Linked DNA regions of Tribolium castaneum. The protein of the gene in region 1 purifies or fractionates together with the protein of each later gene. This does not show direct contact. Links are inferred from orthologs where the notes say so. Each region holds a gene or a part of one and is shown on either strand. Other genes may lie near its edges. The genes, in order: not, Sirt1 and Ada3.

What was found.
Region 2: the proteins of not (region 1) and Sirt1 purify together in Homo sapiens (affinity purification with western blotting; 10 studies listed by BioGRID and IntAct, with this or other methods). This does not show direct contact. The link is inferred for Tribolium castaneum from reciprocal best matches to the Homo sapiens genes USP22 and SIRT1.
Region 3: the proteins of not (region 1) and Ada3 purify together in Homo sapiens (affinity purification with mass spectrometry; 5 studies listed by BioGRID and IntAct, with this or other methods). This does not show direct contact. The link is inferred for Tribolium castaneum from reciprocal best matches to the Homo sapiens genes USP22 and TADA3.

The regions. Positions count from the first base shown.
Region 1 is NC_087399.1:1,665,638-1,669,393, forward strand, and holds not (ubiquitin carboxyl-terminal hydrolase nonstop), read right to left. Parts: upstream 2,711-3,756; 5' UTR 2,369-2,710; coding exon 2,204-2,368; intron 2,158-2,203; coding exon 1,651-2,157; intron 1,350-1,650; coding exon 1,084-1,349; intron 1,031-1,083; coding exon 473-1,030; intron 427-472; coding exon 384-426; 3' UTR 294-383; downstream 1-293. Other genes in the region: hexosaminidase D, read right to left, coding at 1-48, 93-147, 192-220; pyridoxal-dependent decarboxylase domain-containing protein 1, read left to right, coding at 3,074-3,172, 3,220-3,563, 3,607-3,756. UniProt on the Homo sapiens protein: Deubiquitinase that plays a role in several cellular processes including transcriptional regulation, cell cycle progression or innate immunity.
Region 2 is NC_087394.1:11,915,759-11,919,514, forward strand, and holds the start of Sirt1 (NAD-dependent protein deacetylase sirtuin-1), read left to right. Parts: upstream 1-1,240; coding exon 1,241-1,391; intron 1,392-3,756. Other genes in the region: eIF1A (eukaryotic translation initiation factor 1A, X-chromosomal), read right to left, coding at 599-786, 1,014-1,029. UniProt on the Homo sapiens protein: NAD-dependent protein deacetylase that links transcriptional regulation directly to intracellular energetics and participates in the coordination of several separated cellular functions such as cell cycle, response to DNA damage, metabolism, apoptosis and autophagy.
Region 3 is NC_087401.1:17,517,810-17,521,035, reverse strand, and holds Ada3 (transcriptional adapter 3), read right to left. Parts: upstream 2,456-3,226; 5' UTR 2,302-2,455; coding exon 2,124-2,301; intron 2,069-2,123; coding exon 1,680-2,068; intron 1,628-1,679; coding exon 1,458-1,627; intron 1,403-1,457; coding exon 1,299-1,402; intron 1,246-1,298; coding exon 962-1,245; intron 909-961; coding exon 729-908; 3' UTR 654-728; downstream 1-653. Other genes in the region: uncharacterized protein LOC656520, read left to right, coding at 1-190; uncharacterized protein LOC103313297, read right to left, coding at 2,621-2,800, 2,844-3,053, 3,107-3,226. UniProt on the Homo sapiens protein: Functions as a component of the PCAF complex. The PCAF complex is capable of efficiently acetylating histones in a nucleosomal context. The PCAF complex could be considered as the human version of the yeast SAGA complex.

The DNA.
Region 1 (3,756 bases):
TTCTAGCAAAATACCAGTCGCCCCCAAATCTTTAATCAGGGGAAAAAACTGAAATTGACGTTTAAAAGTGAGGTTGTGTCAAACAAACATACTTTTTCGAAGTAGCAGAGCTTCGGAGGGGCCCCTTTCAGGTCCAAGTGGATTAATCTGGGGCAAATGGTTAATTGTGGGTCAGGGGGGTTTGTTCTTACCTTTGGGAACCTAGCGTTAAAGCGTCCATTTTTTAACCTCACATTTCACTTGTCAAAGTAAACAAATCAATTAAGGAGGGTGGAATAATAATAAAAAACGGCTATTGAGGTAAAATTTATTACATTTAGCACTTGATAAATTAATCGATGTCACAATAAAATAAATAAAATGTTTAAATTAGGTAAAATCGTTTAGTCGTAATCTAGGACATGCTTGTGGTAAAAGAGTAAATATCTGGAAGTAGAAAATTACGGGGTGTTTACACAACTTTTCGCCTTACCCTTCCGAGTCTAGAACCTCCTTGAGAGTGGCTCTTGTGATGACGTGATCGTCGCATTTGTACCAATAGTCTTGCAACTGTCTGACATAAGCGGTGTAATGACCCACGTTTATGGAGTTGCCAATGTGGTTAATGACGGCAAAGAGCGAGTATCTGTTATCAGAGGGAAAAGGCGAGTCTGTCTTAGACCTGCTCATAAACGGGGTCATATCTAGCATTTCAGGAAACGAAATCGTAGTAGAGATTTTCTTCTCCATCTGCGACGAAATGAGTGACTTTTGTTTGGATTTCGTGTGGGTTTTTACCTCGTTCATGTGCTGAAAGCGTTTTAAATGAAAACTGATAACAATCGGAAGCGTATTCATAGTCAATTGTTTCGTCGATTCCTGCTTTGATTGGCAATTCGAACACATGATTTTCGAATTTTCGCCTAAATGTTCGGCCCTTGTGAACCTCTCTAAACAATCGACAAGTGAGGTAGGTGGCCGTCCGCCAACCGTGACCGGACCCAAATCTAACGAAAAGTCCGAAATTGGATCAATTGTAGTAGAAACACCACTACCAATGCAACAAGTAAAACCACCGGCTCGCTTAAAAATCCCACTACTCACTTGCATTTCTGACAAACAACGTCACTTTGCAACCCCCCGGTAAAAATCTGGTCGATAATGCAGGGGCATCGCGAGTTTTTCCCCACATTCACCGGCTTTAAATCGGGCATTGTCTCGAGACAGTGCTGGTGGAGCACGTCCAGAGTCGCGATGAAAAATTCGTGGGCGTCTTGCTGCTCATAGCCGGCTAAGTGCCGGGCATGCGTCCAGATTAAATGCAAGAGCTCGTGGAGGGCCAAAGGGACGCGAGTTCCGTTATAAAACTCCTAAAAAAAATTACATTTAAATTAAACGAACTGAGAAAAAAGAATAAACATATTTAAAAAATCAAGAACAGTTTACATAATGTGTGTTATCACTGTTTTAGTTAGACTTTTTTGTAGGAAATTTAATTCTTCTTGATCTAAATCAAAAAATAAAATGTTTGCATTATTTTTTGTTCTACCCGCCTGCATTTTTGTTTGCGCCATCTGGCGCCACTAATGGAACTATCCAGGACGGGGACATTTGAGTACGTTTCGTATCCTAACTTATAGTAACCCGTAGCCTGGCCATATACGACCATACCTGGAAAAGCTTGGAGACCTCGCAAACGAGGCACCGTCCCGACATCCCCTTGCAGTTATGCTCCTCTGTGAGGAAGTAGTCGCGCAACAAGGGGGTGTGCATCAGTGCTTGCACTATACAATTCATGAAGCACGTCTGACCTAAATTAAGCAGCCCCCTTAGCCCGATCGTCGAATCGGGCGTAATACAAATCTTCTTCGTCTTGCTCCTCAAATAATCCCTCTCATCAGACGTAGGATTCCACGTGTCGATCTCAAACAGCCGTTTCTTGCAAGTCTTCGACTTCATTTTATTATCGTTCGCAATTGCGTCGATTTCGGAATCGTAGATGTAGTCATGGCATTGGTTGCAGTGCATCTGCCCGTAGGTCAGGTCCATGGACATGGAGTGTTTCTGGCTCTTGGCATGCTCCCGGATGTGCTTGTGGCATCCGAAAAAGACACACTCGAGGCAGGCATGCAGGAAGGGGCCCCGCTTTTTGCACACGCGACAGCGGCTGTTGCACAACTACAATTCCTCTAGTTAGTTTTAGCAAAGCGTGGCCGATTTTTACCTTGGTTTTGAGGCTCTTTGAGGTGGAGTTGACCACGAACACGGCGTGGATCCACTTGAAAGTGTTCTTGTTTTTGCTCGTTTTCTTGTAAGACTGCAAGTGTTGACACCCAACTATGCTCATTTTTTTCGAAAAACGCGGCTTTGTGTGGGATTTATTGCCCATCAACGAGGTTGCCAACGAGATACAGTCGTGGCCTCAAACTATTGGCCCCAAGCCCCGATTTTTACAAAACTAAACGATTGTTTCCATTCACACAATAAAAAGTTTAAAAAATTGGTAAAAATTGTACACAAATCACGATATGACACTGGTGTCCACCTTTGGACAACAGACTGAGATTTACGGCCACATGCCCACAAGCACGATTCGAGAAACGGTGATCATTTTAATACAACAATGAAACGATTGCTGTGGCTTTCGGGTGATTCCCACAACCCGAAAATGTTATTTTGGGTCGATAAGTTTCACGCAATAATTTAATAAATCAATTTTAGGCCATGTCTCCAGTCGAGCGTCAAGTGGTGGCAATAACAGCCAACATGACGCCCACAAAGTGATACTCTAACACAGTTTTGGGTAATAATAGCCCCTTAATGATCACAAAAATGGAATTAGAATTAAAAAATAGTTGGAGTTTAATTCATGACTTGACCCGTGCCTATTTGGCAATCAACTCCGGCAAAGATTATTTTTTCCTAAGGTTGGCAAAGGTATAGTCAGCTGATAACGCACCATTTTAAAAATAAAGCGCCCGCGCTAATCCCCGACATCCTCCATTGCGTCGTATCTCCACGTCCGCATGCAAATAAGCGAGAGCACCCGAAGGCGTACGTCTGCAAAATCTGACGTTTCCGTACACCTGCCACGATGGCTTCTCCGCCGAATGATAAAAACACAGCAAAAAACGAGGTTTCCGTAAATGTAGACATAACGAAAACAAACATGCAAACTCCAACTAGCAAAAACGTAAGTTTGGCCACAATTTCCAGCCCGGTTTTTATCCGGTGTTTCAGAACCAGTTGGGCGAAATCGCAATCGAAGCGTCCGAAATTGTTAGTAGGTTAGAGCAGGTTGCCGAAGGGACAAGCCTGGCCGATGCGGCCTACAACCAGCCGACGGTGTTCCTGGGCCTGGAGCAGAAGCGCACCGAGGAAATCATCCAGATAATCCAGGGCTTGATCAGTGTGGATGAGGACGGGGAGCCGTTGAGTCTGCACAGTCTGGACAACGTGGCCAAGCTGGTGATGGTTTCGCACAGCATTGCGGCGTTTTGCAGCGGGCTGGAGCGCCCCGTCATGCAGAAGCTGAGCACGAGGTTCACCACGGACGCCACGCGCTGGATCAGCCAGATTTTCGGGTAAGAAATTGGGTGAACCCCCGGTATTAATAAAAAATTGAAGTTTTCTCGACTCGTCGTCGTTTTATCACGACGACCACCTCGAGGGGCTGGTCAGAGTGACCAGAATGATGCTACATTACAAGTACCCCCGGTATCTGGAAGACGGTGCTCTGGCCTTTACTGCCTCGCTCCCAACTATTTACAGCAGTGT
Region 2 (3,756 bases), on another chromosome or scaffold:
AAATAAAATAACAAAATTCTTTACATTTAAATTCACATGTCAACTGAGAAAAAAGCCGCTCTTCTAGAATGTCAAATTATACCTCCCATATTAAAATAATGATAATAAATCTAATTCCAAAAAACAATATGCAATAACCATTTTTTTCAAAAGGTTTTTAGGTAGAACACTTTGCAAAAGTTCAAAATTATGTTTTGCAGCTAAATTCTTCCGGCAATTGGTACAGATGTGATTTTGTTTTTTGACCAAATTTCGCAATAAATCATAACATTTCGGATACAGAAGATACACAAACCAAATTAAGGTTTCATGTGTAGATAACGTTAAAAAGAAATGGAATTTGGTGGGTTTTCTTGTCGCTGGGACTCAGTTTAACACAGATATCTTTCCTTATGCAGACTCTCAATTTGAACTTTATTTTACTCCAAAAAGCTCAAATGAGCTGTCCCTCACAGAACGCTTCATACTAAAAATTTGGCCAATTTAATTTTTTTATTGTAACAAGACCCTAAGCGCAAATTCAGTATAACTTACGTCGATTACCATAAAAAATACAGAATAATGGCAAAAACATCAGACTTTAGCTCTTGCAAATTACCTTCTTCCTAAGCTTGCCTCGTATGTGACATAACCTCTTAACGCCATCAAAGCACATTGCTTCCAGCCGTCCATTCCCCAACATTTTTGTGACTTGTGCATACTCCTGTCCATCTTCCTTGAAGACCAGCTCACGTTTTTCCGTTTCATTTTCGTTCTTACCCCTTCTACGGTTCTTACCTCCCTTTCCTGGAATGACATATTAAAACAAAACGTCACTATGTGAACTTGACATTAGCCACAAGGGGACACAATTTGCACATTTTGCCCACTTGTAGTCCACAACTTTTGGCAATTTTCGGGCCGTTTATTGCAAAATGTGCCCCAATAATTGTCAAAACGGAACGTGTGGTCGCGAGGTGTCGATATGTCGCAAATTGGCAACATACGCAGTTAGGGGCGCGGAGCAGTCTCACCTTTATTCTTCGGCATTGTGTGGGCGACTACACGGCGGTGTGGAAAAGGGCCGAAAAGTTTGCAAAAACGCCGAAATAATTTGTAATATTTCACAAGAAATTTGCTGTCTGTTATCTGGCGGTGCACAGACGACGCAAGGGATTGTGGGTAGGCGCTGGATGCGCGCGCAGGAATTCCTCCGGCACTGGCGACTCGATGCTCGAAAAGATTTTTATTCGTGTCAAAGATGGATACCTATCCTGACGTTGCTGAACACGAATCCAGTGCGAAACGAATTAAACTCGACCTAAGAGAGTCGAATATAGGTGAATTGTGCAATGGGGGCGATTTTTCTAGTTATTCCACATCAGCTGGCGGCCCGATTGACATCCCCGAAGGTAAAATTTCTAAAATATGTTTGCTTGTTTAGGGAAAATTTCTCATCCAATATGGCGACGAGAACAAAGGCGATTTAGCAGACATTTTGTAGGCGTGGTGCTAGGATCGAAATGACTGATGAACTTGTAAAATTTGCGGTTGATTCATTTTTGACTCAGAACGGGTGCTTGTCGTTCGTTTCGCTTCACATAGTCGTTTTTCTTTGTTAAGTTATATTTGAAAATATTAGAAATAAAATTTTAATGATTTTTTTAAATTTAGTGGTTTTATTTACCTTGTTTCAGTTGAGTTCTGTCAGGGTTATGTTTGGTGTATTTTTGGTGGTATTGTGCATAAAGCTTGTGGAAAATATTCCATTTCGGACAAAAACTATAAAAATAGTCGGAAAAAAAAGGTGGAATACTACTGACAGTTTACGACTGACTTGTTTGCAAAAGAGGTTAAGTTTATGTTTTTATGTCAAAACCGCGTGTTGCATGGAACATTTTCAAATCTGTTGATTAAATTATGGTGATAAATGGAAAATCTAAGGTAGCATCAATTCATCACGTGGGGGAATTCTTAAAGAACTTGTTTTTTTTTAGTGAGCATTTTTTTATATAAATTCACTCATGTTTTTTGTCTTAATTTTATATTCTTTGAATTTGAGAACTTGCCTTGAATGTAATAAAAATCAAATACGTTTTAGTTTTATCTTGATGTTTATAAAATTTCTGAATTTGACTGCTTCAGATCTGCTATTTTTTCTTAATTTTTAATGTATAGTCTAAGCTAAGAGGAGGGATGTTAATTAAAAAAAATGGTTTTAGGAAAAAAATAATTTTTATATCTAGTTTTTTTCCGAAATTTAGATTTAGGTAAGCTCTTCATAGTCTCATGAAATATTTTGTTTTACATTTGTTTTTTTGTACAATTTATTTATTGGTATTTTTATAAATTCAGGATTAGTCAGTGTTTAGGAATTTTTTTTCAGGTTTTTTTAAAAATAAACGTTTTTATTAAACAAGTTATTTGTGGTAATAAGTATAAAATCACATTTTAAAATATTTTAATTCGATTTTTCTAAAAAAAAAACAGATGAATGACATCAAGTGAAATAATTTTTTTTAATTCAGGATTTTTTTTATTTCTGTTAAAGTTAGAGCTCTAGTTTTTTTGTAATTTTTTAATTAGAATATAATAAAAATCAAATAGTTTTTTAGTTTCATCTTAATGTTTATAAAATTTCTGAATTTGATCTTCTATTTTTTCTTAATTTTTATTTTAAAATACTTCTTGCACTTGCACTCGAAGCTAAATTTCATTAGTGGTCAAATGTGAAGAGAAGAGATGTCAATTTGAAAAAAGGTGGTTTTTAGTGAAAAAATGAATTTTTGACTGATAGTTTTTTTCCCAAATTTAAATAGGAAAGCTCTTTGTAGTCTTATCAAACACCTTTGTTTTACATTTTTTTTTTTGAATAATTTATTGTGGCAAAATTATTCACCGTCTAATAAGTAAGAAATCACATTTTAAAATAATTTGACTCGATTTTTCTAAAAAAAGCAGTTTTTGACATTTTGCTTTAAGATCAGTTCACATCTTAAGGTCTGTGCAGTGTACACACTATCATATTATTATGCAATTTAATGCAAACAAAAAGGATGCAGTGTGAATTCTTCAAGAAAGTTTATCTTTTTTGAACGAAAGATGAGTGGAAAAGTGATTTGTATTAATTTTTTCTTCTCAAATATTTGAAATTTTTGGAGACAAATATAATAAAATTTATGATCTGGAAGTATTAATACGTAGTATCGCATGTATTGAAAAAAAAATCTACAGACTACAAATCGATTCAAATATTACAAATGATGTAATATATGCTAAAAGATTAAGTTAGGTATTGTTGGTAAAAATTTATGCTGGAAGGATGTAAAATTCTTTTAGAGAAAAACAAATAAAGCAATAATTTGTATTTCTAATTTATTGTTGTAATTCAGGGAATTTCTTCAGTTTAATTAGTTATTTTTAGACGTAAGTCGATGTGGGCAGAACCTTATTGAACATTTTTTCTTGGAAACTGCGAAATCGTGCAAAGGTAACACACCTATAATATCACCCCAAAAGAGACAGATTTATGGATTTATTGAAATTACAAAAAAAAAATCAATTTCAAAAAGCGTATTTCAAAATTCTCAAGACGCAGACTAAGTTAAAACTCTTGTAACATGAGATACTATGATAAACATTCGATAAGTAAAGTGTTGATACGATGGATCACCTGTGGGAGAGGAACTTCAACTTTAAAGTAGTGAAAAATCTACAAATATTGTGTCTGACCTGATCTTAGTGAATTAGAATTTATTTTTTTTTCCTAGAAAAATT
Region 3 (3,226 bases), on another chromosome or scaffold:
CGCTGGGATTGGTCGAACTGGTTGTTTTCTCGCCATCTTGAACGGTATTCAACAGTTGAAAACTAACTTAAATGTTGACGTTTTGGCCATTTTGTGCTCGCTGAGATTGAATCGAGGCGGCATGGTACAAACAGCCGAACAATACGAGTTGATACATCGCGTATTGAATTTGTATGTTGACACAATGTAATAGTAATCAAAATTTCAGGACAAAAAAATCCATGATGATAATCATTTGTATAGAATGTAAATGTGATAATTTTGTAGGATTAAGCGATATATTTTTTTTGTTGTTGTTCTGTTGCGTCATATTTATTACGATTTGTTTTTTATATAAATATTTAGGGAAAATCAATTTTAGCCGTTGGTAGTATTCATGTTCGCAATATACTTTTTTTATAGGTTAAGTTCATCTCATCGCACAATTGTGATTGTCAGGTTGGCACTATTGACTCATTCGTTTCATATACCACCAGTGGTGCCAATTTGAATATTCAAAAGAGTGATTTTTTACCAACCAAACGAAACGAAAAAAGCATTTTTTGATGAATATCTCTCCCAAGTACAAATTGATTTATCGGTGTTTTTCAATTATTTAATTAGGAGTGTTAATTAGACAATTGAGGAAAAAGAAAACAACTCTAAACACCAAATACCAGACTAATTTGTAAATTAATGTGTCAAAAATAATAATAATAATAATGTAAGACTTAAAACTGGTGTTTTTTTTATTCCTGCAATTCCGCCAAAGCTTTCTGAAACTTAAACTGCGTTTCCAACAAGACATGTGTCTTCACTTCAAATTCTTTCAAACTTTTTGTAAAGGCGGCTTTATCGAAATCTTCATCCTTGGCCTGCTGGATTTGCTTCTGTTTGGTCATTAACACCTTATTATAAACTTCCAAAACCTGAAATTTTAGGTGTTTTAATTTTGTTACCATGGTAACACCAATCAACAAACTTCGCCATCTACTACATCCAGAGCTGCTTTGATTTCTTGCCGTTTCAAATCTTTGACAACTATAGCTTTCAAACGTTTCAATTCCTCAACATTATACTCATTGACAGCTGTCAATTCTTGTTGACATTTTTTTATTTCTTGTAAAATCTCATCGTCGGGCATTGTTTTAGATAAATCCTCAACACTTAATAATCCTTGTTCGACTAAATCTTTCTTAAGGCGGCGATCCATACATATGGCAGCACGTGGACCACCAGCTGACTTGATTATATTCAAATCGGACGCTTTAAAAGTGAATTAAATGAGTTTGAAGTTACGACAAATGTGATTTTATTACGTTTGAGTTTCCCAGTAACACCCGGAAATGACGTCATCACTTTCTCCTCAATCAAGGCGGCCAATAGGCGTTGAGTTTTCGGGTTTGAAAATGAATCAACCATTCTATTGATTGATTGTAAATTTTTTTGAACTTTATGACTTGATAAAAAATACTTACGCACTCAAACCGTTCTTTTTCAAATCAAGGCCAACTGTTTTAGAGGTTAGCCCCAATTCTTGTTCCACTCCGGTTGCATTATCTGACCACTCATTGGCGTAATATTCGCCCAAATCGGGTATTTTTACATCAATTTCTTGCGAACATTCCTCGATTAATTTATCGAGGAACTAAAATTTTTTTTGTTAATACATAATTATAAAATTGAAAAAATCAATCAACCGTAGCGTGTGAATTCGTAACGGGGGCGCAATAGGGCTCCACAGTCGCCCAAAACTTATCCGAAGTATCATTCTTGGGTAAATTAATTTTGGGCATTTCATGCCTCAAGGGCACATCCACCGGAAGTGGATAATGACGTTTCAGGGGGCGTGCGCCCCCTTTCAAATCACGATACTTGGCCTTATCATCGGGCCGTTTCCGTTTGAGCCCCCCTTTATCATACGATTTGCCCTTTTTGTCTCTTTTTTCCTCAACTCGATCAATCGATTCGATTTCGCCCCTTAAAAACCGGTTACGCACAGCACACGTCGAAATTAACTTCTCAAGGTCGAGTTGAAGTTGATCAAGGTCGTCCATGTTCACTCCATCGTCTTCGGTGCGCCCCAAAACTAAAAACTTGCTCATTAATCAAAAGGGGCAAAACGTTAGGTTAGGGTTGATTACTGGATGAAAAACGGGGCAAAAGCTTCGTGTTGTCGCATTGACGGATCAAAGGGACGGTGTTTATGAAGTTTTCGGTGTCAGGAGGGATGGAGTCGTGACGGGAGGACGAGGGGGCGTCTTTCGCTTTGCCCCCTCGGGGGGCGTTTTTTGACATGAGGTGGCGTTTGGGGTTGTTCATATCACGCTTTAGGCACAAAGAACATGCAAAATGTTAATCATCAATGTTATTTTAGCCAATTTCACACAATTTTGTTGTTTGTTGACAATCGATACATAAAAATTGACACTTGAATTACAGGAAACTGTAAACTAAATCGAACATAAAGGGGGAAAATTTAATACGTGTTTCCGAAACGTAGGGCTTTATTTACTAATCAAGTAGATACACCTGGAGGCACAAATAATTATTAATTGATTACTGGACGCACTGAAACGTGATTAAATATGATTAAGATTTGGGCAGTACCATGTATCAAAAAAAAAACGGTGCAAAATTTTTATTGATTTCGAATTTCTAAAGGCGGGCGATCAAAATGCCGTATATTCCTCGGCATAACCATGTCATGTTGCCACTTGGCCACATCTTTCATGTAATTACAAACGGCCAAAATTAAATTTTCGGGGACTTTCGGCCCGATTCCTGGAACTGGATCCACGAACACATCCTCATACTCAATCTAAAACAATTATAAAAAAAAATTTCCCACTTTTTTTTTCTACTTCTGGCGCTTTTTCCTTGACGGACGGTTCACTTGTCGACGTTTCGTAACTTTTAAGTGACTCATTAGTGAAAATTTCACTCTCAATTCGTGTTTCAAAATGTTCAGGTGCATCAATTTGTGATTGAGTTAAACCAGCTTCAGCTAAAATACTAGCTTTGAATTTCTCAACTTCGTCGTCACTTTCACCCATCATGGCTTCCTGTAATGACTAAACCCGAATTTATTTCGGGGAAAAACCTAGTAGACTAGTCGGTGAATTACCCGAAGTCTTGCCAAATCTTCCATAAGATAAGTGTCTTGTTTCAAATCCTCTTCATCTTTCTTCAATGATTCACTCGGTGCTGATGACATTCGCGTACTTTTCGAAACAAGGTCATCTTC